4 linked regions of the Elephas maximus indicus genome follow. The protein of the gene in region 4 interacts with the protein of the main gene of each other region in a pairwise test. Links are inferred from orthologs where the notes say so. Each region holds a gene or a part of one and is shown on either strand. Other genes may lie near its edges.

What was found.
Region 1: the proteins of LZTS2 (region 4) and USP2 interact in binary tests that used the Homo sapiens proteins (3 or more experiments, as listed by UniProt). The two-hybrid records come from large-scale screens. The link is inferred for Elephas maximus indicus from reciprocal best matches to the Homo sapiens genes LZTS2 and USP2.
Region 2: the proteins of LZTS2 (region 4) and TRIM29 interact in binary tests that used the Homo sapiens proteins (3 or more experiments, as listed by UniProt). The two-hybrid records come from large-scale screens. The link is inferred for Elephas maximus indicus from reciprocal best matches to the Homo sapiens genes LZTS2 and TRIM29.
Region 3: the proteins of LZTS2 (region 4) and PQBP1 interact in binary tests that used the Homo sapiens proteins (3 or more experiments, as listed by UniProt). The two-hybrid records come from large-scale screens. The link is inferred for Elephas maximus indicus from reciprocal best matches to the Homo sapiens genes LZTS2 and PQBP1.

The regions. Positions count from the first base shown.
Region 1 is NC_064835.1:11,873,615-11,880,834, forward strand, and holds the start of USP2 (ubiquitin carboxyl-terminal hydrolase 2), read right to left. Parts: upstream 3,004-7,220; 5' UTR 1-3,003. Other genes in the region: THY1 (thy-1 membrane glycoprotein), read right to left, coding at 4,590-4,702, 5,217-5,552, 6,224-6,260. UniProt on the Homo sapiens protein: Hydrolase that deubiquitinates polyubiquitinated target proteins such as MDM2, MDM4 and CCND1. Isoform 1 and isoform 4 possess both ubiquitin-specific peptidase and isopeptidase activities.
Region 2 is NC_064835.1:12,727,044-12,734,720, reverse strand, and holds the start of TRIM29 (tripartite motif-containing protein 29), read left to right. Parts: upstream 1-4,659; 5' UTR 4,660-4,812; coding exon 4,813-5,616; intron 5,617-7,677.
Region 3 is NC_064846.1:122,724,111-122,730,992, reverse strand, and holds the start of PQBP1 (polyglutamine-binding protein 1), read left to right. Parts: upstream 1-3,881; 5' UTR 3,882-3,984; exon of another isoform or gene 3,985-4,093; intron 4,094-4,137; exon of another isoform or gene 4,138-4,244; intron 4,245-4,364; 5' UTR 4,365-4,397; coding exon 4,398-4,464; intron 4,465-6,363; coding exon 6,364-6,475; intron 6,476-6,706; coding exon 6,707-6,819; intron 6,820-6,882. Other genes in the region: TIMM17B (mitochondrial import inner membrane translocase subunit Tim17-B), read right to left, coding at 997-1,060, 2,750-2,849, 3,624-3,649. UniProt on the Homo sapiens protein: Intrinsically disordered protein that acts as a scaffold, and which is involved in different processes, such as pre-mRNA splicing, transcription regulation, innate immunity and neuron development.
Region 4 is NC_064834.1:52,643,519-52,650,848, forward strand, and holds the start of LZTS2 (leucine zipper putative tumor suppressor 2), read left to right. Parts: upstream 1-4,312; 5' UTR 4,313-4,787; intron 4,788-7,330. Other genes in the region: TWNK (twinkle mtDNA helicase), read left to right, coding at 14-155, 1,081-1,371. UniProt on the Homo sapiens protein: Negative regulator of katanin-mediated microtubule severing and release from the centrosome. Required for central spindle formation and the completion of cytokinesis.

The sequences.
Region 1 (7,220 bases), on a different chromosome or scaffold from region 4:
AAGGGCCTGAGGTCTGAGCGCCAAAAGAGAAAGCCTATCCTGAGGGGGCCAAGAAAAGCTTGCCTTCAGGGGGCTGAGATGAGCCCGGCATGGCTGAGAGTAACTGAGAGAACTGTCTTGCCCTGAAGAAGGGAGAATTTGCCTACGTGCTCTCTGTTCTTGATCCTGAGTTGTAACCTGTTGATCCTGATTCCAAGTGGTAACCTGTTACTACCCTAATAAACACCATAAACAATTGTTATCTGTGAGTTCTGTGTGCCATTGCAACAAATTATTGAACCCAGCAAAGAAGTAGAGAGTTCTGTGGGAGGGATGGCTAATGTCAGAATTGGTAGAAGTTTGGAGAGTGGAGGCATGTTTGACTTCCATCTCATATTAATCAACCTTGGGCTGTTGAGCCTGATAATGATTCTCCTCCCCGCTCATGAAGTTAGAGGACCTCTGACTTCCACAAGCCCTTTTTACAATTAGAAAATCAATCAACGTAATACACCACAGCAGTAGAACAAAAGAGACACATAATCATCTCTATGAATGCAGAAAAGGCATTTGATAAAATCCAATGGGTATTCTTGATGAAAACCCTCAAGAAGATTCAAATAGAAGGGAAATTCCTCAATATGATTCAGGGCATATATGAATTCCAAGGGACAACATCATACTTAATGGAAAAGGACTGAGAGTTTTATCCTTGGAATCAGGAACAAAACAAGGTGCCTGCTCTCATCATTTCTATTCAATATTGTATTAGAAGTCTTAGCCAGAGCACACAGACACATAGACCAATGCAATAGAATTGAGAGTTCAGAAATAAACCCACACATCTATGGTCAACTGATTTTTGACAAGGGTGCTAAGTCCTTTCAACGGGGAAAGTAGAGTCTCTTCAATAAATGGTGCTGGGAAAACTGGGTTTCCACACGCAGAAAAAAGAAACAAGAACCATGCCTCACGCTGTACACAAAAATTCAAAATGGATTAAGGACCTAAATATGCAAAGTGAAACCTTAAAATCCTTAGGAAAAAAAGCAGGGGCAATGCTGTCAGGCCTAGCTTTTAACAATGGATTTTCTGATACAGTAACAAAAGCAAAAGACAAAATAAATAAATGGGACCTCAAAAATTAAAAACTTTTGTTCAGCAAAAGGCTTTACTAAAAAAGTGAAAAGATAAGCTACCAACTGGGAGAATATTTTTGGAAACCATATACCAACAAGAACCTAATAACCAAAAAATACATAAAACTTCGACAACAACAAAAACACAACTCAATCATAAAATGGGCAAAGGGCAAAGTGGGCAAAGGAGTTGAATAGACATCTCAGCAAATGGCCACCAAACACATGAAAAGATGCTCAACGTCATTAGCCATCAGACAGACGCAAATTAAAACCACAGTGAAGTACCATTTCACTTCCACTAGGGTGGCTAAGATAAAAATAAAAAACATAAAATAATAAATGTTGGTGAGGATGTGGGAGATTGGAATCATTGCTAGTGGGAATGCAAAATGATATAGCCACTGTAGAAAACAGACGGCTTCTCAAAAAACTAAAACTGGAACAACCGTAAAACGAACCAAACCTGTTGCCATCGAGTAGATTCGATTCGTAGTCAACCCTATGGGACAGAGTAGAACTGCCCCAGAGGGTTTCCAAGGAGCAGCTGATGGATTTGAACTGCCGACCTTTTGGTTAGCAGCTGTAGCTCTTAACCACTATGCCACCAGAGTTTCCAAACTACCGTATGACCCAGCAATTCCACTCTTAGCTATATACCCGAAAGATTTTAAAGCAGAGACTCTACAACAATGTTCATTGCAGCACTGTTCACAATAGCCAAAAAGTGGAAACAAAACAAAACAAAAGGTGGAAAATAGCCCCTGATGTCTTAAAACCAAACAATCGTTTAGCTTGACTAGTAAAGAATGTCTGCCTTGAGCATTATGCTCTTTTAAGATCTATGTAAAAAAAAAAAAATCTATGTACACGGGATCAAATTGACAACAGTAACTTGAAAAATTAAATGGGAATCTTGGGGAGCAATGACAGTACGTTAATGGGGGGAACAACACAGAAAAGGAGGTGAGAATAGCTGCACAACTTGAAGAATGTAATCAATGTCAATGAAACATGTCAAAATTACTTGAATTGGTGTATGTTTTTGATGTGTATGATCTCAACAACAAAGATAAAATAAAGTACTTAAAAAAACAAAAAACCCCTTTCCTCGCCAGAGTAGTCCGAGCTCCAAGCATTGCAGATAAGAGGGGTCTTGTGTCAGTCATTGCACCTGCTTAATGACTGGCACCTCACTCAGGGACAGTCTTTCACACCGGCAGTGTGTTCTCCTCCACCACGGGATTTTCCTTTCCTCTTTGGGCAGGTTCTTTGGGCAGGGTCACTATAGGACCACTGACTAGGCAGAGGCATAGACGGGAGGTGGCAAGAAGAGTGGGAGCCAGTGGCACAAATTTAGATCTGAGGCCTTTAAGCAAAATGCTCAGAAAGAATCATCCTATCCAGTGTTAAATACCAAATGAGTCAGTCTCTGGGCAGTTGCCACCCTCCCCCTCCAAAGTCCCTGGCAAAGCAGGAAGGCTGTCTCACTGACTCCTACGAGGACCTCGAACTCAGAGCCACCCTGTGGCCCGGTTCTAGTCCCCAGTCCCAGGGTGACTTCAATGCTTATCCACATTTTACTCATTACTTTTAGAGGAGGGGGTCAGGGATGGGGTTAGCGCTCCCTCCCTCCCCCAAGGGAATGGTGGTCCTCAGTCCTTTCTTTGGCCATTGCTTTTGGATTTAAGGAGATGCTCACCCTTAGACCTTGGAGACATGGATGCCCTTTCCTGCCCCACCCTCCCCCTATGCTTCCTCTCCACGCTCCTGGTACTTGCCCTCTAAGAAGAAGTACGTTGAGAGGACATTTCCAAAGGAAAACCAGGTCTGAGAAGAGAACACTGCCTACACAGCTCAATGCTTGTTAGCACAAAGCCACTTGCATATTCGTGTCAGTGTCATGTGGCTCAGCCCATACATTGGCAGGTGAGTTTGTGGTTCTAGCCAGGTGAGTCAGCAGAGATGGAACATTCATTTATTTGAGCAAACATTAAATGTTAGTTCTCCTGAAAAGAAGCCCAGCATGCAGCCATAGGTCCTGGGTGGAGGTGGAGGTGGGGGCTGAGGTGCTGCTAGAAGTTGGAAAGAAGGCAAGGCGAGAGGAAGAACTGATGGAAGGCAGGGAAGAGGGAGTATTCCCCAACTTTCAAGGTGGCAAGTGGGACCTCCTGCCCATGGAGACACTGGCTGAGGAAAGGGAGGCGGGCCTAGGCTGATGGAGGAGCAAAGCAGAGATGGGACACGAGGTCGATTCCAGAGGCTTGATTTTATTGTGCAGTTTTCTTTTTCCTCAATGAGATGCCATAAGCTGTGGTGGCACTACACACAGTCACAGGACAGGACAGGGCTGCTGGTGGGGAGCTGGGGGTTAGGAAAAGCCACCTCACCTCCCAAGGCGTGTCCCACCCATGGGTCTCACTCCATGGCCTGCCTCTGGCCCCCAGAGGTCCCTGAAAAGCCAGGCCTGTGGGGCAGGGGGCTGTCTGAGGGGCTCAGGCACCAGCTAGCAGGGGCTGGCACTGATGAGGGAGGGAGAAAAGAACCTCCTGAAGAAACACTTGGGCCAGACTCTGGGGGGCTCTGGGACTCCAGCCAGCCCGACTCCTTGGGTCCAGGTCAGAGTTCTGGATGCTCTTAGGGAGGGGCTTGTTTTCCTCTGCCACCTTCTCTACTGCTGGTCAGGACAGTAGGCTCACATTTCTGGCTTCCTTAGGTAGGGAGGGATGACATGCCCTCGCCTCTTACCCCTTCAGCCAGCCCCTCATCAGCATTGCTCCCATCGCGATCTGCTTTCTAACTGAACTATGCCCCTGGCCCCAGGCCTCTGGGGGATTTCTACGGGGTCTTAAAGAGGGGATTTTTTTTTTTTTGCTTTGGTTGAGGATGCTTTGGAAGATGCTCTGTTCTCTCACGTGATGGCCACAAATGCTTGGGGGGGTCCTTACCTCTGGGATCTTCAGGTGCCATCCCTGCCTGCTGAGGGATGGTCTCAGCATAGACCACACGGGTACCAGCCCCAGACACCCCATCCCCTCCTCACCCAGGTCTCTCCACGGCCTCTGGTCCCCACTGGGCAAGGATGGTCCCCCAGGGATTGGTTATTTTTCTATCCCCCCTGCCCCATCCTCTCACTCTCCATTAGTTCCCCAACCCTGGCTTCCCTTTTCACGAACTCCAGAAGAAAAGGAAGGATAAACTCTAAATAAACCAGACAGAAGCAGCTCTGGAACAAAGAGTACAAAAGACAGCCAGTGGTGTGCAGAGAGGGTGTGAGGGGCTGTGGGGGTCGGGTGGCAGTGGGAGTGGGTAAATAATGGCATGCAGCACTGGGGTTCCTTATGAGAGGTGGGGTCCCTATTCCTCCCCGAGGTGTGTGAGGGACTGGGAGGAGGGGGTCAGCCGACTCAGAGAACTTGGGTCTCTGGACCAGGTCTTGTGGCTTCCTGTATCCTCTGTGGGCACAACCCGTCACAGGGAGATGAAATCCATGGCCTGGAGGAGAGGCAGGGAGAGCAGGAGCAGCAGCAGCCATGAAGTATTCTGGACCAGCAGGCTTATGCCCTCACACTTGACCAGTTTGTCTGTGGAGAGAGAATTGGGTAGGAGACAGGACAGGAAAGAAGAGAGACCAGCATTTAGGTAGGGACAGGCACAAAGTAAGGTGCATTGCCTTGGTATCAAGATGATCATGGGACCAAGTATCAACAGGACCAATCATCCTTCCTTCGAACACACATCAACTTATAAATCCTTCCTAGACATGGTCACAAGAAGACTGTGGGGAAGTAGGTATTATGGTCCCTATTTCCCTGAAGGGGAGGAAGGGGATTGGGGAGGCTAAGTGACTTTCCTAGAGTCATGATGGAAGTGTCTACAACACCACTCTGTCTCTCTGACTGGCACCTTAGCTCCTCAGACCCCCATTCACGCTGAAGGCAGTGGTTCCCCAGGGGACCAGGCAGCAGTTGGAGGACGTCAGGGGAGTGGGACCCCTCTCCCTCTAGTCCAGCCAGGACTGCCTGCTGCCCTCACCAGTCTGCCCCTCCCTAGCCTGTCTCCTCCAGCTCAGTGGGTTTTGCTGGGTACTTGCCATACCTCTGAAGACTGAGATGTTCTTGTTGGAGATGCTGAGAGGCTGGCCAGAGAGGCGGAGCTCACATGTATAGGTGCCCTCATCCTTGTTGGTGAAGCCATTTAAGTAGAGGACCTTAATGTCATACTTGCTAGTGAGGTTGGTCCGGGTGCGATATGAGTGCTCAGGCACTCCCAAAGTGCCTTCGATCACGTGTTTCTTGGTCTCGCGGGTCACGCTGAACTCATACAGGATGGGCAAGGTGGTGGTGTTCTCATGGCGGCAGTCCAGGCGCAGGCTCTGGTTCACCAGGCAGGCTGTCAGGCTTGTCACCTTCTGCCCCCAGGCCACCTGAAAGACTGGCACCAGCAGTGCCCCCTCCGAGTTAGGAAGAGCCTGTGGAGCAGGGGGTCTCCTAACCACATTAAGAGCAGAGATGGGGCCTAGTCAGGGGGGTCACAGGGGTCTGCTCTCTGAGCCCTTCTCCCACCCCAGGGGTCCCCAAGGGTCAGTCCAACTTCCCCACTGAAGACCCTAGCCTCGCTCCCTAGCCTGCTTGAGTCCTGGGTCCCACTAGCATGTTCCAAGGGCAGGAAGTCTTGGGAGTAGATCCAGGTTCCTGGATCCCATTTGGAGATTCTAATTCAATGGCAGGAGCCCTGGTAGTGCTGTGGTTTAGAGCTCAGGCTGCTAACCAAAAGGTCGGCAGTTGGAATCCACCAGCTGCTCCTTGGAAACCTTGCGGGGCAGTTCTACTATGTTCTCTAGGGTTGCTATGAGTTGGAATAGACTCGTGGGCAATATGTATATATTTTTTAATCCAGTGGCTGGGGTGGGCCTGAGGGAGTTGTGTTTCCAAAAACCACCCAAGGCACTCAGATCAGCTAGGTTTGGGGAAATTGCTGACTTAAGGACGAAAAAGAGCCCTCTATACCTCAATCCCCTCCACTGTCTGTAAGGAAGAAGCTAGCTTCTCTGAGGAGGAGCAAGCCAGTGTGGCTGGACTCCCAGCCTTAGCCTTACACAGTACCTGTCAGCAGGAGAGCGATGCAGATGGCGGGGTTCATGGTGCCTGGAGCTCAGCCCTGGATCTGGGGTGGGGACAGGACGGGAATCAGCAAGAGATGGGGCAAGTGTCCCACATTTACTGCCAAGCCTGGGGCCCCTGGGGGATATGCCATAATGTCCATGGGTGGGGCATCCAAGCCCCCTCTACATCCCTCGTTGAATGTGACACTGTCACCGGATTGTGGGGAAACGGCAGGCAGATGGGGGAGGTGGAGAGGGAGAATACCTCCTATAAGGGCCTGTGTCTATACCTGGCCATGAGCCCCTACTAGCTGGGTGATTTAGAATAAGAAACTTTATCTTTACAACCCCCAACCCCCTTCAGAAATGTCCTACCTATGAGGGCAGGGACTTCTTAGTTCTTGTTCAGAAAAAAAAAAAAAAATCCCCAATGCCCAGAACAGTTCCTGGCATATAGTAGGTGCTCAAAAGATAATGAATGAATGGCTCTGAGCCTTAGGTACTCAAAGGGTTATGATCGGGATTAAGAAAGACGAGAAACATCTGGAACTATACCTGCTCCAAGGTAAGTGGCCCCACCAAGGTTAATTTCCTTCCTTCTAGAAGACAACATGGCTAGGGATGATGCCAGGTATGCGTGGGTTTAGGTGCTCCCAGATAATCCTGCACTTGGCACAGAGCTGGAGGTGTTCCTGGGTGTGTGTGAGGGAAGTGAGAGTGCTCTTGGACTGCATATGAACCAAGGATGCTTCCAAATACTCAGCTTTCTGGGATTCCTGGGGCTGCAGTTTTCCAGCCTCTCTTCAGTGGCCTCCCTGCCTAGGCGCTCTGTCTTGTCGTTTTTGCAGCCTAGGTTATACCAACATCCCAGCGAGGTGACACAGAGCAATAACCTAGCCGTCCGCATTGCTGCTCGCAGGGCAGAGGCCGCAGGAGGGGTGTGCGCCTGCGAGTACACGCAAGGCCCTGGCCTGGTGCTTGCGCCCGGGTGTGCACGT
Region 2 (7,677 bases), on a different chromosome or scaffold from region 4:
AGTCTTGCCCAGAGGCAGGGGCATGGACCAGCTGGCCTCTCCCTTCCAGCCCTGGGATTCCAAGGAAGCTGGGGGAGTTTTCTCCTTTTAAGGGGTTTCCTCTTTCATCTGGGGTGATGGAATCAGGTGTCACCAGGCCATAGCAGTGGGTGGGTGAGGCTGCTCCACCCACTGAATCAAGGGAGGCTCCCAGGAGGGGAAATGCTTTGAGATGCCTCAAGATAGAAGCTTGGGAGGAGGCTTGGGGTTGGCTGGGAAGGAAGAAACTAGGGGGTGGGGGGAGGGGTTCGCTGGCAGGGCATTGCGGGTCTGAGGGAACCAAAGGGGAGGGGAAGAATTCTCCTTGTTCTCTAAGAATCCTTCTCTGGAAGCCACACCTACTGGCTCTTCTTACCTCCTGAACCCTGCAAAGGACAGGGTAGAGGTTGGTAGCCAGTCAAATTCCACCATCCCTTGGTATAGGGAGAAATGTCGCAGCAGGAACGCTTTAAGCTAGACCAAAGGAAGAACAGGATAAGATGGGACATGAGTGACTGAGGGGATTCATGGAACCCCTTTCTTTCCAGGCCTTTAAAAATGAAGCATTCCCTCTGCATGGAGGCCTTCCCTCAGCCACAGTGGTGGATGGGGTATGATGGCCTTTTGGGTCTTTTGGCCAGGTTGCAAGTGGCACATAGGCTGTCAGGAAATGCCCGCCTGGGGAATCTTTGCAATTGGATTTGGGGGTGAAGAGGACAGGACCCCAGCAGTTGGGGCTGGGTGTACCAGCTCCCTTGGTGGACACAAATGGCCAATGTGTAGTGTGGGCATGGGGGGAGCTCTGGGAGCATGACCGTCCCTTGGGTAGTCCTCAGCATCCACCCTAGACCTCAGTACTCAACAGATGAAAACCCTTACCTCTACAGTCCAGCTCCAGGAATGCTGGTGGGAATGGCAGTAGTGTTGGGAGGGCTAGGTCAGCCCTGGAAGGAGAATTGTTTCTTTGGTTTGTTCCCCAGAGAAATCCTTTCCTTCCTTTGGAGCTGAGGGACCCCAGTCCAGCCTACCTTCCACCAAGTTTTTGGAGGGAGCAACTCCCAAGAGAGGGAGGGGCTGTGGGCCCGGCACAGAAGGTCCGAAAGACCAGTCAACCAGCATTGGCTAAGAATTCAACTTAACAAATATCTGTTGAATCAAATCAAAACCACATTTTCCGCACGGCCAGGGGAGGATGCTTGGGTGCATGGAAAGTGAGCAGCACCCAGCCTGGTTGGAGAGACAGGCCTCTCTGTCGGGAGGTCCTGGATGTACCCTTCTCTGAGCTGCCCCACCTCCTCACACGTACTATATGTACTGTTTACACCAAATTCATTTACTTGCTGGACTGTGAGCTCCTCAAGGGCCAGACTTGGGACTTATTCATGTCTGTGTGATCAGTCCCGGGCTTAGTGCCTGGCACATAATAGGATGCTCAGTAAACACGTGTGAATGAACAATTAACATCAGGTGGTCTGAGCTAAATGCCTTCTGAGTAGCACCACCCAAAAAACCCATTGCCATTGAGTCGATTCTGATTCATGGCGACCCCATTGGACAGAGTAGAACTGCCTCGCAGGGTTTCCAAGGAGCGGCTGGTGGATTTGAGCAACCAACATTTTGGTTAACAGCCAAGCTCTTAATCACTGTGCCACCAGGGCTCCTCTGAGTAGGACAGACGGTAAATATTATAGGGGTCCAGAGAAGGGAGCTATCCCTGTGGGCTTGGGGCCCAGGGGAAACCTAATGGAAGAGATAAATTAGCCTTGTCTTCATATTTGCTTTGAAATCATTTGTGCCTGTTGCCCTTCTCAGGATAACTGTGGGTGGTATTCTCCAGCAATTATTTGTATCCTCCCTCCTATTATCTATCTGCCTCAACAATTCACCATTCCTCCAGTGGTGTGCTGGAGCCAGCTCCCACTGTCTTCGGAGAGCCCATTGTGTACATACCTTCCTTGTACGCCTCACATTTGTAGCTTGAAATTTCCTGGAGTATTTACACCAGGGAAATTGGCAAGCATTTTTCTCCCTGGAAGAGCTAGTTTTTAAACTTTTGCCAGCACACCACTGCAATCCACTCATTCATCTACTGCCTGTTCATCCCCCTTCCTTTTTTTCCTTCCCTCTCTCTCTCACTTAATCTTCCTTCCTCCCTCCTTCATGTTTATCCAATTCTATAACTGTGTATCTATCATCCATCTATCCATTCATTATTCACATCTATTATCCATCCATTTACCTATTTTCCACTCTTATACCACGCACCCACCCACCCACCCACCCACCCATCCATCCATCCATCCATCCATCCATCCATCCATCCATCCATCCATCCATCACAAATATTTTCTGAGCAGTCTATTCCTAAGACTCAGAATCTTTCCCCAGATTCCTGTCATGAACCCTAAGGACATGCAGAGGCCTCCCAGTGCAGCATCCCAGGTTCAGGGAGCATTAATATTGGATCCATTACCAAAACCCTTCGGTTCTCCTCTTTTGTTCCTTCTTTTCCCCTCAAAATCTATTCTCACAGGCTATGTTCTATCTGGAGAAGATCGATGGGAATAGCCTCCTCATCCAGCAGACCAGGACAATACTTCTCTCTCTCTCTACCTCTCCCTTCTGGCCTGGCTTTTTGAGAAGGGGTTCTGTATCCCAGAAGTTTCCATGAGCTTTTAACCAACTCATCAGTGAATTCAAACAAGAAGGGGCTCCCATGGGGCCTGAGAACAGAGCTGTCAGGTAAGAGGAAAATCCGCATCATGAAGCCATCGCTCCCACCCAAACACCACCCCCACATACCTCCTCTTAAAACTTCTGGCTGCTTTGTGAACCATGCTTGGCTCTGCCCTTTTCCCAAGGGCTGTTATTGCAAAAGGATTAGCTGTTCAGCCTGGTGAGCCAAAGGGGTAGGGCTGCCAGAGCTTGGCCTGGATTCGAGGGGAAGGCAGGGAAACCCACTCCCCTACACAGAGCCCAGAACCTGCCACACCAGCCACACCTACCTTTTGCTCTGCCCTGTTCAGTCCGGCCTGGGAAAGGCACAGCCCTTTAACTTGGGGATGGGTTGGGGGCCGATGTGGGCTTCCAGGGACCACAGCAGCGTGTAGTGCCCCAGAGATGACCTGATGGCACAGCCTGGCAGGAGCTGAGAGGACTGTGCCCAGTGTTCGTACAGGGGGTTGGGGAAAGAAAGGGCCTAGAGCAGTTTTTCTCCTCTTTTTCCCCAGGGTTCTGTATTTACACAATAGTCACATCTGAGCAGTTCACTTGTGAGGTGTTCTGGGTCCCATACTTCTCTGCCTTCCTTTCAGCGGCTGCTGCCTGTAGCCTAGAAGGGGAATTGGTGGTTCAGTGGCAGAATTCTCACCTTCCATGAGAGACACCCCAGTTCAACTTCCGGCCAATGCAACTCCTGTGCGGCCAGCCACCACCCATCTGTCGCCGGAGGCTTGCCTGTGGCTATGGTGCTGGACAGGTTTTAGTGGAGCTTCCAGACTAAGACAGACTGGGAAGAAAGGCTTGGGGATTTACTTCCGAAATTCAGCCAGTGAAACCCTGTGGGTCACAACAGCCCCATCCACAACCGATCATGGGGATGGCGCGGCACCGGGCAGCATTTTGTTCCATTGTGCACGGGGTTGCCGTGCGTCAGGGGCTGAAACGACGGCAGCTAACAACAAAAACAACCTGTGGCCCAGAGAGGGTGAGCATATTTTTTTCTGAGTCATACAGCGAACTTGCTGTGGAGACAGGTGAGAGTCAAGTGTTTGGACTCTGAGGACCAAACCACCTGGCCTCTCATTGCTTGAAAGTCCCCTTATCATGGTTTCCCTGTCTTTGGATCCAAGCAGGTCCTGACCTGCCCTTACAGAAACAACCTAAAGTCTGTGTGCCTCTTGTGGGAGTGGCTGGGATAGGAATGACTTTCAAAAGCCATCTCTTGGCAAGATACTCAGGTCACTCCATGACCCCCTGGCCCATTGGTCCCCTGAAGAAGGGACTTTGGAATCTTAAGGGCCTCGGGGTTCAAATCTCAGCTCTACCACTTGACTTAGGACAGTGAGTATTTTCTTAGAACCTCCATTTTCTTGTCTATTAAATAGGAATAATTGAAAAGATTGTAGTGAGAATCAAATGAGCTCATATATATAAAGTACCGAGAACAAGGTTCAATAATCAGCAACCACTTCACTCCAAAGCCAAATTGAACCCGTCACTCCCCTTAAGGTGATAGGCAACTCCACCACCCAGGGTGGGGAATCTCCGAAATCCAGGCTCGAAAATTACAAGGCGATTTGGCTTGTGCGACTCAATTAATAGCCCATCTGTCCCATGGGCCTCTGTGGACACCTCAGGTCTGCCTCGGGAGCCCCTCAGCCCGGAGAAGCCAGCCCCCCTATAAGGATGGAGACTCCCCCACTTCCCGGATAAGGAGCCAGCACTTCAGACGGAAGCAGCTTGACTGGTTGCTGGGTTGTGGAAAATAATTAAACGGGAAGAAAAAACACTTCTTTAAACAATCAGGTTAGGTATGAATGTGTAGGGCGTGGGCCCCTGGGTAATGAGCCGCTCTGCTGGCTCCAGGAGCCGCCTGCTTCTCCCCAGCCCCCTGCCCCTTCTATCAGGCCTGCCCCTGCTGCTCCGCCCACCCGACTGCTGCTCCTCCCTGTCGCTATAGCTGTGCCTCTCTGCTCTGTGGCTGCCTGCCCCACTCCCCGCCGAGACACGCGCCAAACAGGTCACCCACCTGGAGCCCCAGCAAGCCCGAAACAGACAGCCCAGTGACGTGCCATGGAAGCCGCTGACGCCTCCAGGAGCAACGGGATGGGTCTAGAAGCCAAGGATGCCCGCGGCCCCCCAGGCCTCAGCGGTGGCCTGGAGAGCGGGACCAAGGGGGAAGCCAAGGACGCCAAGACCACCAATGGGCATGGTGGGGAGGCAGGCGAGGGCAAGAGCCTGGGCAGCTCCCTGAAGTCCGGAGAGGGGAAAAGCTCCCTGTTCTTGGGGAACGAGTGGCGGCGACCCATCATCCAGTTTGTTGAGTCCGTGGACGACAAGGGCTCCAACTACTTCAGCATGGACTCCGCGGAAGGCAGGCGGTCCCCCTACGCAGGGCTCCAGCTGGGGGTCACCAAGAAGCCGCCGGTCGCCTTCGCCGACAAGGGGGAGTTGCGCAAGTCCATCTTCTCGGAGGCCCGGAAGCCCACGGTGTCCATCCTGGAGCCGGGGGAGGCGCGGCCGAACAGCTACCCTCGGGCCGACACCAGCATCCTCCTGCGGCCCAAGTCCGGCTCCGAGGAGGTCCTGTGCGACTCGTGCATCGGCAACAAGCAGAAGGCTGTCAAGTCTTGCCTGGTGTGCCAGGCCTCCTTTTGCGAGCTCCACCTCAAGCCTCACCTGGAGGGTGCCGCCTTCCGCGACCACCAGCTGCTGGAGCCCATCCGGGACTTTGAGGCCCGCAAGTGCCCTCTGCATGGGAAGACCATGGAGCTCTTCTGCCAGACCGACCAGACCTGCATCTGCTACCTCTGCATGTTCCAGGAGCACAAGAATCACAGCACTGTGACCGTGGAGGAGGCCAAGGCCGAGAAGGAGGTAACTTGTGGGCCCCTCCAGGCCTCCACGGGGGTGCGGAGCCCCCTCCTGCCTCCCGGTCCCTCAGCCCTGACCTTCTCCTCCGGGTTCTTAGCGTTTGGACTTGAGTCTCCACTGCCCCTGGCTCCTTTAGGAAATCTTTCCTTCCCGTTCACACCTCCCGCTGGGCATCAGAGGTGGCTCCCTAAGGCCTTAGGAGACAGGACCATTTCCTAGATGAGCAAGTAGGGGCTGGGAAGAGGTTGGGGGCTTGACCAAGGTCATAGGATAAATTCAGTCAGATCAGAGAATAAGACTCAATGATGTAGCACTCAGTCCTGGGCTCTGTGTCAGTCTGGGGTGTTTCTTTGTTGTTTTAAGGGAGAGAGAATTTGCCCACCTGAGCAGGCCTGGCCCACAGGGAATAGGTCATGGGTGAGGGAAGATAATGTGAGGAGGAATTTTTGGCCCCTTTTGGCTGGTTTCGGGGTTTGCATTTGCAGTACTGCACCTTCTTGTTGTCTGTCTGATGCCCCAGTGTCTCCTGACGCCCCCATGCACTCCTTCAGCCTTCTCTCAGCGCGGCCCTGTGGGTTTTGTGTATGTGGCTGCATATGGACGTGACTGTGCCTGTAGGTGGACATTATCAATGAGGGCTGGAGTCTGTGTGTGGGGAGGATGTACATATATTTGTGTGAGTGTTTATGTGCCTATTTGGATGTTTGCGTATATTCGTGTATACAATACATAAGTGCGATTGCATGAGCTCTGTGTACGTGATTATGCTTGAGCTGAGATGGGGATGAGCAAGGGCGTGTGGAGGCTTGTGAGGTGTTCAGGGCTGAGGACTCAGCTATGGCTTCTGCCCCTTGCCCCACAGGTGCTGGGCCCGCTCTCACCCACAGCTCTGCAGGTCCCTGCTGTGGGGAGCCTCCCCTGAGGTGAACCCCACTGGCAATGGATGTAGGGGACCGGACTTTCCTCAAAAACTTCTGCACTCTCAGGGTGGGGTAGCACCCCCACCGCTGCCTAGCCTTCCTGACCAGGAGCTTGTTGATATTCTTTCCCCTGTACTCCTTGCCACACCCCGTGGGCAGGGTGGGTTGAGTAAGAGATGGGAACGGACTCCCAGATTCTTCTCCGAAGCCCCATTTGGCTCAGGCAGATGTTCCGAGCCCTCCCCCACCACTGCCTGGCCTGAAACTTCTTACTGGAGGATAGAGAGGTGGCAGGGATACAGAATCCATCCGCAGGGGGACTCCTTGGAACAGTGGCAGCCATCTCATCCATTGCAACCAAGAGAGTACAGAGCCTCAGGCTGGGTTTTGTTGTTGCTGGGTGCCACTGAGTCAACATCCACTCAGCGACTCCATGTGACAGGGTAGAACTGCCCCACAGGGTTTTCTCAGCTGTAATCTTTACAGGAGCAGATCACCAGGTCTTTCTCCCATGAAGCTGCTGGTTGGGTTTGAACCTCCAACCTTTCAGTTAGCAGCCCAGTCCTTACCTTTTGCACCACCAGAGCTCCTTGGAGCCCTGAATTCCAGTCCTGGTTTTGGCCTCTAGTTAACTGTGAAACTATGGACGAGTCCTTCTATTCTCTCAGTTTCCTTTTTCCTGTATGTAAAACCAAAGGTTTGGGCTAGATTGCTGGTTTTCCTTGAACCCCATGGAGCCCTGGGATTCTCGGAAATGTTTTTGAAGCCTCAAGGATGAGGAGAGAGGGCCAAGAGGGGCCAGGAAGGCTGTACTAAGCAGTGCACACCCTTGGTTATCTGTTTTATACACAGAGTTTGGCCCCAAATTTCATCTGAAACAAGGGTATCACCCCATAAGAAAAGCCTGAGTGCCATTGGAGGGGCCATGACGCTATTCAAGGGGGAGGAGGGTCTCCAGCAGCCTTTTCTGGAGATGCCAGGAGCTCGGGGCTTGTTCTGGTACTGGGGCTACTGCAGGAATCAAGGATGTGGTTCTTACCCTTGAGGTCCCATGATGCAGGTCAGGAGGCAGGGCTGAGCCACACAAACAAGAGTGGGAGCCTATGCCCAGTTACGAAGGAGCAGCTGTACATAAACATCAGAT
Region 3 (6,882 bases), on a different chromosome or scaffold from region 4:
CTTTGATCTTTGTAACCACCACACAGTTGGAACGGTGATCTTGCTTTCAGGGAGGACTAACTAAACCAATCTTTTGCCACTGAGTCCATTCCGACTCATAGCAACCCTACAGGAGAAAGTAGAACTGCCCCATAGGGTTTCCAAGGCTGTGCATCTTTACGGAAGCAGACTGCCATCTTTCTCCCACAGAGCCACTGGTGGGTTCAAACGACAGGCCTTTCAGTTAGCAGCTGAACTCTTAACCACTGCACCACCAGGGAGAAGGGCACAGGTTAGAAAAGCCAGGTAATGAAAATGATAGTTAAAATGTTGACTGAGGGCTTACTGTGTGTCAGGTCCTATTCTTGGTACCGTACGTTATTTGACTTCTAAAATTTTTAATTAGTTAATATTAAATTAATATTAATTGTTAGATTATTAATAAAGTTAATAATGAAATATTAAATTAGTTAATATTAAAGTGCTTAGTACAGCGATCTTAATAACTTCATATATACTCTGTAAATGTTTGACCCATAAATTACAAAAGTACTGAGGTGGTTACTGTTATGATCATCCCATGTTAAAGAAGTTCAGAGAGGTTAAGCCACTAGACCAAGGTCGCACAGCAGGAAAGAGCCAGGGCCTGGATTTAAACTCCAGAACCCACACTCTCGCCCCTCTACTAAATTGTTGGGAAATGTCACCTCCCCCCACCCCAGGAAACCCTGGTGGCATAGCAGTTAAGTGCTACGGCTGCTAACCAAAACGTTGGCAGTTCAAATCCACCAGGCACTCCTTGGAAACTTTATGGGGCAGTTCTACTCTGTCCTACAGGGTCACTATGAGTTGGAATTGACTCGACGACAGCAAGTCTCTCTCTCCCTCTCCCCCCAAGAAATCCCAGGCAGAGTTGGGGCTGGAATCTGGGCACCAACATGATATCTAGACCCAAAGGGGCAACCCTCTCTCCCACCAACTTTGCCATCATATCTCATGTCTCCTGAAGCCTCTCACCTCCAATCTGGGGGGCTCGAATCCTCACAGCGCTGATGCTACCTCTCAACCGGTGCTGAATTCCCTGGGGGAAAGTGAGGAGGGGGGGAATCAGGGCAGGGGTAAGGCCACTGGCAGATAGGATTTCTGGCTTTTAAAGGAGGAATGGGGATGGGAGACCCGTTATGGGTATCAGGGCAGAGATATGGAGCAGCCAAGAACTAGGAGGCTGGGGAACACCCCAACATGACTGCTTTCAGAGCTGGGTTGAGAAATTCTAATTCATTCATTCATTCATGCAATAAATGATTATCGAGCACCTACTATGTGCCAGGCACCATGCTATATGCAGGGATACAACAGTGAGCAAGGGAGACCTGGTCCCTGCCCTTTCAAAGTTCATGTTATAGTGGAATAGTCAATATTGAGTAAGGATACAAACCAATAAACAAAACAGTTCCAGACGGCAATAAGCACTCTAGAGGGAACAGGATGAAGATAGATGATAGTGGCTCAGTGGTCACAAAAAGCCTCTTTAAGGAGGGGGCATTTGTGCTTGACCTTGCTGATGAGAAGGAAACTTGGGCAAAGATCTGGGAAAGTGTTCCAGACTAAGGTGACAGCAAGTTCAAAGGCTGTGAGGCAGGCATGAGACTGGGGTGTTGGAGGAAGAGCAAGGAGGTCACAGAGGGTGAAGCAGAGTGGGCAAGGAGGAGAGTGGTAGAAGATGGGCTATGAAAGGTAGGCAGTTAGATTTGTAAGGCATGGTAAGGAGTTTAGCTTTTAAGAGTAACAGGAAGCTATTAGAGAATTATAAGGTGGGACGAGGATCTAATTTCCCTTTTTAAGGGACCCTTCTGGCTGATGTGTTAAGGACAGGTTCTAAGGGGGTAAAGGCAGAAGCTGAGAGATGAGTGAGAAGGCTACAGCAATCATGGGGACTCAGGCCAGAATGGTGGCAGCAGAGGTGGTGAGAAGTTGCTGATTTGGGAATACATGTTTTGGAGGCTGACTACACAGGTTTTGCTTATGGATTAGATGCATGATGGGCTGTGAGGGAAAAAGAGGCGTCAAGAATGACTCCAAGGTTTTTGGCCTAAACAACTAGAAAGAGGGAATTATAATTCCCCGAGATGATGTTGACGGATGAGATTAGGTCTGGGAAGGAATCGGGAGCTCAGTTTTGACTTGTTGAGTTTAAGATTAGTGATCTAAGTAGCAATGTCAAGCAGGCAGTTGGGTATGTGGGTCTAGAGTTGAGGGGAGAGACAGAGCTAGATACATAAATTGCACAGACCTTGGCAAATGGATAGCATTTAAAGCCGTGACATTTGATTAGATCTCCTGGGGTCGGGGGTTGTTGTCAGGGAAAGAAGGTAATTGACTGTGTTAAAAAGATTTTCTCAACTTTGGCGCTGTCCTTCGCTCTGTCAGTTAAACTTCTATCACCTTCCCCTAGCCAGGCTTCTGACGTAGAATCTCCCTCCACGTAAAATTTGTCTGGCTTTGTACACACATCTAGGATTTGATGATGACTGTTTTGACAAGACAACATTTCCACAGAGGAGCCCCAGTTGGGGGTATGGGGGACAGAGGCCACATCTGCAGTTCCCCCAAGACCCTATATCTGGAAGCCAGGCCTGGCACATAATAGGTGAGCAGGTATCAGGATGAAAAAGTGCATGTGACTAGCAGCTACATGCAGTTTTCCGAGCAGTATCCATGTGGGCTGGTGAGCCAACCCCCACACCACCCAGGCAAGGCCAGGGCTTACAACAGGGGCATTGCGGAAGCCTTTGATGGCCTGGAAGACTCCACCACCGATGACACCCATGGTGAAGGCTCCACCGCAATCATCCACAATGCGCCATGGGCTGCAAGAGGGAAAGGGAGGAAGAGGTTAACGTGAGCCCTCCCCTATGCCCTAACGCAGAGACTCTTGCCAACGTCTTTCTTCGCCCTACCTGCCCCCTTCCTTCCTTCCTCTTAAGGAATCAGTCAATTGCTTTACCAAAAATGAAATGATACATGCAAAGATTTGGGACATTTAAATATGTGCTATAGGAGTGTTGGCTAGCTAGTACTGTTATTAAAGCAGGTAAGTCGCACTCCCTTCTCCAACAATGGGCGTGTCCAATCGAGCCCCGCCCCCTTCCCCCCATTTAACCATTTAATCAAGCACGATTAGAAAAACCCAAGAGCAGACGGTGGGGAGGATCCAGCACTCCCTCCTTGCCAACAATAGGCTCATTCAGGCCCCGCCCTCCATTACCTAAAGAGACCTGGGGAAAACCACACGTGTAACCCTGCAGATTTCTGCTTGGTGTCGCACCACCACCCCCCCGCCCCGGCTGAATGGATTCGACCAGCGTGTCACTTTTCGTTAACAAAGAGGTGCTGGGAAATACAAAGTCAGGGGCAACGGGAAGTGGTTCGTCCTGTACCGCACGTCCTCCAGGCGCACAGTTGCTGCTCCTCTTAACCAAGTCTGGGTGGGCGGAACCAAGCGGGGAAGCGGAAAGAGATAAGTTTCTAAGTCTCCAGAGTCTGTGAGGTGGAGCTGCGTGGCCGGTGCCTCTCCCGCCCGCATCCCACGGTCGGCTACGGCCCCGCAGCAACAGTCCCTATGCCTGTGCCCATCACCATACCAAGGCTCCCGAGCGTACTCCTCCATGGCGCCGGCGTTCGGCCGCGCAGTCAGGCCAGATCCGGCCGAGCCACGCCCCCAGTGCAAACGCACACAGGCGCGCGAGCTTTCCACCTATTCCAAGACAAGAGTTGAGTCGCTTCACCACACGTAAGTCCAAAGGCACACTCTCATTGGCCACCTCGGTTGCGTCATCTGTTCTCCGCAGCCTCCGAGCGTCTCCCAGTTACTTAAAGGCTCGGGGAGAAAAGGCCTCCGTCTGTGCTTTGGGAGGAGCTAGTCGCGTGGTTCCGGTGATCATAGCGGCGGCGAGAGGGAGGCGGCCTGTCTGACAGCCTTCCACTGCCCGCGAGACTGTATTGGTAACACCAGGGTGGACGCATTCTTTTGGAGCTGGAGGAGGTTCTGCACTTTGATCCCCCATTTCAGCGCTTTGGTTCCTCCCACCCGGCAGTCTTTGGGGGACGTTGGGTGAGCCCATTTCTGGGGCGCGGGGGAGACACGCTTGACTCCTTTGGCGCTGGGCGGAGCCTGGGCCTGGAAGAGGAACTAGGGACGCGAGCACTAGAGGGTGGATGAGAGTTTGGTGATATTGCCACTTATCTCCTCCACCTTTTAGCGCGTAGGTTTCGTCTGCCCAACTACTGCAGATGGGGAGGTGGGGGTCAGATGAGTATATGCTTGGGGGGAGGCGCTTGGTTACAGGGTCTGGATTCTAATTCTCATCTGATCTGATTTTTAGTCCGTCTGCCTCTAGGTTCGTCTGCTACCCGCTATGCCATTGCCCGTGGCGCTGCAGACCCGCTTGGCCAAGAGAGGCATCCTCAAACATCTGGAGCCTGGTGAGAGCTAAGAGCAGATGAGCCCACCATGTGCCAAGCTTGACAGGCACTTTGTTGTTGATATTGACACTCGATACCTAGTATGAGCCTACTGTGAGCCAAGCAGTGGGATGAAAGGCGTTTTATTGTTAATAATATGGATTCCTGACATCCACTCCTACTATGTGCCAAGGGGGATAGATATTTTAGCCGCCTTAATAATAGTGACAGCTGATGCCTGTTTTGGTTTATTGCATTCCAGGTTCCATGGGGTGATAACAAAGTATCTAATAGTAAGGATAACTGACATCTCCTGCAGTCTCCTGTGTGCCAAATACAGTGTTGATGTTGATACTTTGTTGTTCACAATACTGATAGGTAACATGAACTTCAGGCCTACTGTTGTGCCAGCCACTATACTGATAATATATACCTGTATTATTCACCTTATCAGTAAGTAACATGTATTTTGGGCCTAAGGAGCCCTGGTGGTACAGTGGTTAAGAGCTTGGCAGCTAACCAAAAGGTCAACAGTTCTAATCCACCAGCTGCTCTTTGGAAACCCCATGGGGCAGTTCTGCTCTGTCCTGTAGGGTCGCTATGAATCGGACTCCACTTGATGGCAGTGGGTTTTTTGGGTTTAAGTGCCTGGTGGAGCCCTCGTGGCACAGTGGTTAAGTACTTTGCTGCTAATTGAAAGGTCGGTGGTTCGAATCCACCAGCTGCTCCTTGGGAGAAAGATGTGGCAGTCTGCTTCCATAAAGATTTACAGCCCTGGAAACCCTATGGGGCAGTTCTTCCTTGTCCTGTAGGGTTGCTATGAGTTGGAATCCACTCGATGGCAATGGGTTTGTTTATTTTGTTTTGTTTTGTAAGTGCCTGGCATACACATTACTGTTCACAGTATAAAATAAGGGATAGCAAGAATCTTATCATTTAGGCCTACTGTGCTGCTGCTGTTAATATTTATACTTTATTGTTAATAATATTGAAAGCTGGCATTAATTTTGGCCTACGGTGTGCCAGGCACTGAAAAATACTTCTTATTGCTCATCATATTGAAATTTACATTAACTATAGGTCTACTCTGTGCCAGGCATAGACCTTATGGTTAATAATACTGATAATGATCCTTGATATAATTTTAAGCATATTGAGAATCAGGTCTTGTCCTGATGACATACATCTGAATAACAATACTAATGACAAGAGCTGACAACTATTTTGGACATACTATTTGACAGGTGCTATGCTCTTGCTGACATATACATTTCATTGTTAATTATATCCATAGCTGAAATCTGTTATAGGCCTATTGAGGGCCAGGCACTGAGCTGATAGTATACACCCTTTTTATTCTATTAACTGACATCTATTGCAGGCCTATGTGTCAGGCCCTTTGCCAATACTACACCTTGCCACTCAGGAACTGAATGGCTTCAGAACAATGTTTGGATAAATCCCTTGCTATTCAAGATACAGGGATCAAAAATCCTGTATTTGCCAAGCTTGAGAGCTGAAGAGATTTTCAGAAAAACCCCTTGCTGTCGAACTCATTTTATTCAAATAGATTTGGATAACACAGCGTCACATACTATCTGAACTCAGGCACTGAATAGATATGGATAAGTTTTTTTGATGAATCCCTGTCCAAATTCAGAAATCAGATAGGTTCAGAGAACAGTATGACTTACCATTGGAACCCAGAAACAATAGATTTGGATATTTTTTTTTGATATTCAGATATTTGAATTTTGCAAGCAGTATTTTTATCTGCTTCCTGGCATACACATGGGCATGTGCCTTCCGTGTGTGGTTTGTGACTGGCCAAGTGCATAAATGTGAGCATATGTGTCCCTCCAGGCCTTGAGACAGGATGAGAATTCCCCTTAACTGTTACCCCCCACCTTGTCCTGCTAGAGCCAGAGGAAGAGATCATTGCTGAGGACTATGATGATGATCCTGTGGACTATGAGGCCACCCGGCTGGAAGGCCTGCCACCAAGCTGGTACAAGGTGTTTGACCCTTCCTGGTGAGTCTGGGGACCTGGGGGGGGGGTAAGGGGGAATAACTTGTACCCTTACCCTTCCTGTGCTATCCTTGGCCTTGGGGTTTATAGGAGACACAAGGGACGAGATCTGGGGGTCCTCCTTGTGGAGTCCTGACAGGGGCAGGTATGGGCAGAGATTGGGGAGACAAAGGAGAGGACATCTGTACTGACACTCTTCCCCTCCCTCCCTCCCTTGCTCCTATTGCCCCACAGCGGGCTCCCTTACTACTGGAATGTGGACACAGACCTCGTGTCCTGGCTCTCCCCACATGACCCCAACTCTGTCGTTACCAAGTCTGCCAAGAAGCTCAGGAGCAGTAATGTAGGTGAGTTGGCAGATCCAAGGGTGCCTGGAGCAATTCTAGCAGTTTTCAGAAAGGGGTCAGGTA
Region 4 (7,330 bases):
TGGGCTGGGGCAGGATTGCAGCTCAAGACTACATCGTTGGGGCCTTCCGGAAGTTTGCTACAGACAATAGCTGCCATGTGACACTGGTCATTCACCCCCGTAAGGAGGATGATGACAAGGAACTGCAAACAGCATCCATTTTTGGCTCAGCCAAAGTGAGTGGCCTTTGGAGGAGCCCAAGCTTTGGGGAGTAAAGCGGGCAGATGTGACCAGGGACAGCCCTCATTCAGGCTTAAATCATTTCCTTGGCTGTCCTTCTGGGGAGGCAGGAGGCAGCTGCCTCTGGGGCCATGACATGAAGAATATATATGCTAGGAATACATGGACTGATAATAGTTGGTCCTTTGCCCTCTTTGTCTTCCTTTAGTGAGGAAACAAGATAGTAATTACAACTCAGAATGATAAAAGCTGCAATTGGCAGCACAGGTATTTGGGGAGCAAAGAGAAAAGCTCTGAGTCAGCCTAGGACATCTGAGGAGACTTCCCAGAGGAGATGTCAACAAAGGTTGGGTTGAGTTTTGACAGAAAATAGGTTAGGTAAATAAATGGGAGGGACTTCAGGGCAGCAAGACCAACCAGATCCTGAAGCTTTCAGGTGTACAATGAGTGCTTATTACATGCCAAGTCTGGGCTGGGCACAGGGAATACAGGGTGAGGAGCACAAACTATGTGCCATCATGGAACAAGGAGCTGGGGAAGAGAATAATGTGGAAGTGGAAAGATGGTGCTTCCTTTATTTAGAGTGGTCAAGAATGGTCTCGCTGGTGAAGTGTGACTTTTAGACTGGGAATGATGAGAAGAAGCTAGGGTTGAATGGGATATCCAGCTGTGGAGAAGTGTTAGAAGCAGAGGGAGCAGCATACACAAAGTCTGAAGACAGCAGGAGCTTATTATCAAGGAAATGAAAGACTCAAGTGGCCCCAGCATCATGGTCAATAGTTGAAAGAGTTGTGGTGATGGGGGAGGTACTTTTCCCTTCTCCCATTCTTGCTACTTCTCCCCGTGCCCCCAGCCTTCCGTTCTGCTTCTCTTATATGTCTTCTCATGCCCGGCTTCCTCCTTCTGCCCCCCAACTCCCAGGCAAGCCAGGAAGCAGACAACGTTCTGATCCTACAGGACAGGAAACTGGTAACTGGGCCAGGGAAACGGTATTTGCAGGTCTCCAAGAACCGCTTTGATGGAGATGTAGGTGTCTTCCCGCTCGAGTTCAACAAGAGCTCCCTCACCTTCTCCGTCCCACCAAAGAGCAAGACTCGACTCAAAAAGATCAAGGACGACAATGGACTAGTGGCCAAAAAGTCCTCTTCTGGCAAAAAGGGGACTGTGCCTCAGAACTCTGAGATGTGCCTGGACCAGATCCCCAACCCCTAGCAGCCAGACACCTGCCAGCCTTCATGGTGAGGGCAGTGCAGAGCTGGACATTGAAATGAGCCTGACAGGACAGGTTGGGGCAAAGACTCCTGGCTTCTGACCACTGACTATGGTGCTGAGCTGTGGGCCCTTCTCAGTCTGAGGGGCCTAGGCTAGGTGGTGTTCCGTAATGAGAGAATTAGCAGGTATCTGAGAACCTACTCTGTACCAGGCTTTGTTCTGGGTCCTCAGGATAGAGCAATGAGCATGACAGATGTGGTCCCCACTTCCATGGGACCTGCATTCTGGTGGGGGAGATGAGGCAAGCAATGAACAAATAAGCAGAAAACATAATTTTAGATAGTCAAAAGCGCTAAAAACACAGCAGTAATGTGATAGTGCTTGCAGGCTAGTTTAAACGGTGGGAAAAGGCATTCTGAGCAGAGAAATTTGAGCGGGGGTCTAACGGACCAGAAGGAGCAAGCCACGTGAACATCAGAAGGAAGATGAGATCCCAGTAGCCCGAGTGTTAAGTACAGAGGCCCTGAGGTGGGAATGATCAAGTTTAAGACAGCGAGGTCATGCCTCTAAACCTGGAGGGGAATGAGGGGTTCCTTGTCAAAACTCCTGCCGAGGTTTTCAGATCCAAGGGGTGATATGGTGGGTGCCAGTTCCTCTGCTCCCTACTCTATGGAGCCTGTCACGAGAGGGCATTTGCTAGAATTGGCATCCTAGGTGCTTGGCCCTGGAATATCAGGGCCCCAAAATTGGGAATCACCTCCTCCTGGATTTCTTAGCAGCAGCCACAGAAGGAAGCTGTGAGCCCAGAGTGTGTGCCCCCTGGACATAGATTCCAGGGTTTGCTGCCTCAAGTAGGCAGTGTTTCTGGAGTAGATACAGCCATGAATTTTTACAGCCTTTTCCAGTTTTACTTAAAAAAAAAAAAAATCCCACTGCCTTTGTTTCTGTGCTTTTTTTAATTTGTCCACCAGGTGTCTCCAGTCTATAACTGGACTCTCCTTTCACTCTGGGGATGGATGGGTCCCTTCACCATTTCCAGCATTTGAGCTGAGGGTTCCCAAGGGAGCTAGGTCACCGAAGGGTGTTCATTCCCCCTACCCCCCTGCCTTGCACCACCACCACCGCCTCTTCTGGGTATCCTTATCCTTAACTTCCTTGAGCTCCATGTGATTCCTGACAGCGCTGTGGATCACTGGGCCACATGCCCAGGCCCTGCCTGACCAGCTGTCCCTCTGATGTGAGCCACTCAGTGGCCTCCCTCGATGTGGGCTCTGCTCAGCATATTCTCTCTTGATGTTTCCCTTGTGTTAGTGCATACCGTGACTCCTGGGGATCCTGTTAAAAATGCAGAACTTAGGCCCTGCTCCCCACCCCCATCCTGCCACACATACATTTCTAATTCTGGAGTTTGGGGAGGGGTACAGGAGTCCTCATTTTTAACAAGCCGTGCAGGAGGTTGTAAAGTAGGCAATCCACAGACCCTGTCAGAACTAGTGTACCTAAATGATGACACTTTCCCACCTCATTTCCCCGGCTATCCTAAAGTTCCAGCTTCCCTTTAGATTTGCCTATTCGTTTTTGAAACAGTGGTGAGAACATAAGGTGTTCTGAAGATGCTGGGAGAAGCCCTTTGTAAGGGTAGGGTGAAAGCTTTCCTGCTCCCTGGAAGCAGGGCTGCCTTGTCAAGTTCTCCCTGTCGACCTAAGGGGGTGCTTCTGGGACCCTGTGGAAGGGTATGGGGTCTGGTCTGCAGAGCATGGGAACAGTGACCACAAATGTCTCCTGGGAAGACCTGGAGCAAAGCTGCTCCAAAGCTGTTCTCTGTGGGACAGAATATGGAAAAGGGTAGCTCCTCCAGGGCCTCCTTTCTTTGAGGGGGTGGGGGGGTGTCTGTCTCCCAGACTGGCTGGAGCCAGGCCTCCCTAATCCCGCAGTAATCATTCCCAGCCGCTGGCTGGTCTAGGCCTCATCCAGGATCTATAACATTGGATGTCAGCCATGCCTTCCAGACTCAGAACACCAGGTCAGTCCTGCCTATGAGGACGTGGGCTTGACATTCTGGTCTCTTAGAAGCCGGATTTGTTCTCAGGAAATCCTCAGAGGTTCCCTCCTGGGAACCTCTGAGGTTTTTGTGGGAATTGGGGATACAGGGATGGATACATACTTGCCTGTTTGTCTTGCCTCACCCTCCTAGCAGACACCCCCACGCAGCAGAAACCAGAATGATGAGGGGGAGGGGAAGATAAATACTGCTAGCCCCACCCCCTACCCAAACATCTTCCACTCCACACCTGCCTTAAACTCCCCATATCAAGATATGGCCCTAAGTAGATACAGGAGCTCCTGGAGTGTAGAAAGCAGTGGAGACCCCCGGGCCCTATTTAAGGTCCCTGGAGGCCCGCTGTCCACGTACCCAGCCAAAGTGGACATTACCTGGGATAGAACCAGCTCTGCCTCCCTCCAGCTAGATGTAAGAATCTCCCTGAGAGCTCAGAGAGAACCTGGTCAAGTGAGGTCCTGTCCTCAGATTGACACTGTGCCTCATACTTGATGAGAGGAAGGGTCTCCAGGGTGAGGGGGCAGCTTTGGCCTTCCAGCAGCTTCCCGACTACTGTGGATGGGTTTGAGAAAATAGGAAACTCACTGGAGTCTCCTACAGCTCAAGTACTCAGGCTGCAAATATGGCCCAGATACCTGCAGACACAGGCTGCTTTGGGTGCCATGGGGGGAGGAAGTCCTGGGTGCCTCCCTGCAATACAGGCCAACTTCCTGTTTGTGCATGTGGGTGGGACTTTATGAGTCTAAGGGAAGCTTGGCCATGCCCCATGGGAGCCAGAACTGGCAGGCCTCCTCACCTGGGCTGACACCTACTCCAGTCAAGAGGGTGGCGCTGGTTCTGCTTGGGCAGCCCCAAGATGAAGTGGGGGGAGGGCTGTTTTGGTGAAACCCGAGACTTCTTTGTCTGTTCCCCAGGGATTTTCCCTGTTTGGGAAGTGGGCTGGGAGTGGACCAGATTGGGCTCCCTATGGAGCAGGGAAGGTGGCCCCGTCAAGCCCTATAGCCAGCTTAGTTAGGCGGCCAGTAGCTTAGCTCTCGGTCACGTGCTGCTCGCCCCTTCCCTAGGTTGAAAGCCAAGTTCAGGAAGCTGGTGAAGTCAGAGGCCAGAGGAGCAGCCTCGGGCCACTGTCCAGCTTCTGCTGGGTACTGGGTTGGCTCTTGAGGGGGTGCCGGGCAGACCACTCCCCTCCCTGGGTCGGGGGCGCGGCCTCAGCCGCCCCGCCCCGCTTCACCAGGCCGGGCCAGGCGGGCTCCCGGAGCCCTGAGCGGGCTTGGAAGCCGGCAGATCTGCCGCGCAGAGGTTCCCCCGCTGGAGCAGGCACCGGACTGGAGCTGGAGCGCGGTGCAGGTGGTGCTGGGTGAGTGGCGGGACTGCGGAGGTGTAGGAACTCCCGCCTCCAGCACATTCCTGCTCCGGAGCGAACTTTCCCCGTCCCGGAAAGCTGAGGGCTGGGGTGAAGAGGGAGGTCCCCACTCCATGGGGGACAGGCAAGGAACTCTGCACAAGGAGGCGAGACAGAAACTTGCACTGAGGGGCTCACACGCGTGCTACAGAGACACGCACGCACGTGGGACACGAACACACGTGCATTCAGAAAAGGAGGTGCCCAGTGGGTTACCCTTGCAGTCTCAGGGACAGCGCCACCGGCCCGCGAGGACCCCCCCCCCCGGGCAGGGCACTCTCCTGTCGCGTACTTGGTAGGGGCGGGGGAGAGGGGCAGCCCGGTGAGCGCCGACGGGGGCGGACCGGGTGGGACGCATCGGGAGGTTCCAGCTTCCCCACCGCAGCCAGGTGAAGACTGAGACGTAAACAGGCGCCGAGCACGTGATTGTGCCATAGCCTTGTGGCTGTACTCCCCCGACTCCTGCCACTTGCAGGGACCCCCTCCCCAGGCCCGGGCGAGCTTACACGGTTCCACAATGGGCAGTATTCCATTCTACGCCTCGACCTTCGAGCGGTGATAAGCCCTCCCCCAGAAATGGGAGCACAACGCCCCCTAGAGCCGGGGTGGCACCGAATTGGAGACTGTTGGGCGGGGGTGGGATTAACTGGGCTCCTCGCCCTTCCTCCCCTGAACATATTCGTAGTGTTCCCATCCCTGAAGGTATGAGGGGGTACTCTCCTTGGTAGCAATGGACAGCTGCCCCCTACCGCCCGGTACTCCCATCCCAGGGAGCAGCTGCTTGAGTGTCTGTGGATCCCCTTCCTACCACCCCATCCCCTCTGACAAGACTGGGAGTTCCTCCCCCGAATGGAGGAACAGAAATCCCACCCATGCAAGAGTGGAAGCCCCCCCACCCCCGCCAGAGAGCGCATGAGTATAAACAGCCCTTCATACCGACTGGGCCTACCCCCTCTAGCAGAAAGGAGTCCAAGCTCTCCCCGAGGGTGGTGGGCAGCGGTCCTCTGTCTCCCTCTCCGCCCCCACGCCGCCCCCCTACACACATGCTGAGCCCAGCTGCTGCTTGAGCTTCTGGGCAGACTGCCGGGAAGGGGTGGAGGCACTTGGTGTCCCTGGAGGCTGGGATCAGGAAAAGGCCAGACAAGGGGGTCTCTTCTGGGGAGGGGGCCTCAGGCTGTTCTTGTGAGGCAAAGGGTCTGGGATGAGCCTGAGGGTAGCTGGGCTGTGATTCCCTTTCCAGGGAAAAAGAAAAACAACCCTTTCCATAGAGCTAAAAATAGAGCTGAGAGCCGGCCAGGGCTGTGGCCTGGAAGGGGGGATGCTCTTTCCTGGGGCGGAGCCGAGCTCTGGCAGGCCTTGGCCCTGGGGGACAGGGAGGCCGTCCTTGCCCAGGGGTGCCAGCATCAGCTGACCTGACCAGGTCATAGAGACCCTTGAGGGAAAATCTGTGTGGAGGAATATGTTTGTAAAACATAATGTGTATGTGTAAAAAGTTGTCTGTGAGCAACTGTGAATAAGACTGTCAATGTCTGAAAGATCGTTAGGAGACTAAGTGTATTTATTTAAGATTTTGACTGGATGTGAAAGACTGCAAAACAAGGCGTGTGACAGTGTGCATCTGCGTGAATTGGCCTCAAAGATATGAGAAGAAGGAACATGGGACCATGCGATGGATGAGACCGTGTGAGATTGTGGATGTGTGAGACTGAATGTGGGGAAGACCGTGTAGGTGTTAAGAAGACTGTTTGTTTGCGAGAGGCTGAGGATTTTTGTGACCCTGGGAAAGGGAGTAGAATGTTGTTTGCCGTGAGGCTGGTGTAGGTTTGGACTGTAGGTTTGGACCGGTTCACCCCAGTGATTGTTGGGGGGCCAGGGGCCGCCTCTGTCCAAGCGTCTTTGCAAAGAGTTCCGAAGGAAGCTTGAGGAGAATGGAGCCGTGCCAGGGACAGACCTAGGCTCGCGAGGAGTGGGGAGTGGGATAGGGACTCCCATGAAGGGAAGGGAGGGAATGTGTGGCTGGGTGTCTTCTCCAAACTGGACGCCAGGTGGCGCCGCCTCCGCAAATCCAAGTGTGCCGCCGGCGACCCACTGCGGGTGGGGCAGGCACCGGCCGAGCCTCGCCCCCAGACTTGTGCTGGGGTGCAGGACCCCGGCAGACCGGGAAGGGGGCATCTGACCCTAGGCCTCCCCGTATGGACTCTAAAGCTGGAGAGTGTGTCTTGGGGAGAGGCTCCGACTAGCGAAGCGGAGGGGGAGGGGCAGCCGCCGCCGCGCCGGGCCCTTTGTGCTCAAACAATGACCAGCTGCCGCCGGGCCCGGGGCCCTGGTTGAGGGGGAGAGGGTGACCCGCTGCCGCCGAGTCCTGAGCCCCCGAGCCCACAGACACTAGTCCTCGGTGGGAGAGAGCCTGGCTCCCGCCGTGCAGGTCCCGCGTGCGCCGGACACGCGTGACGTGAAGGTTCTTGCGCGTGTCCGCGCCCGGGGGCGGGGCCGCCCTC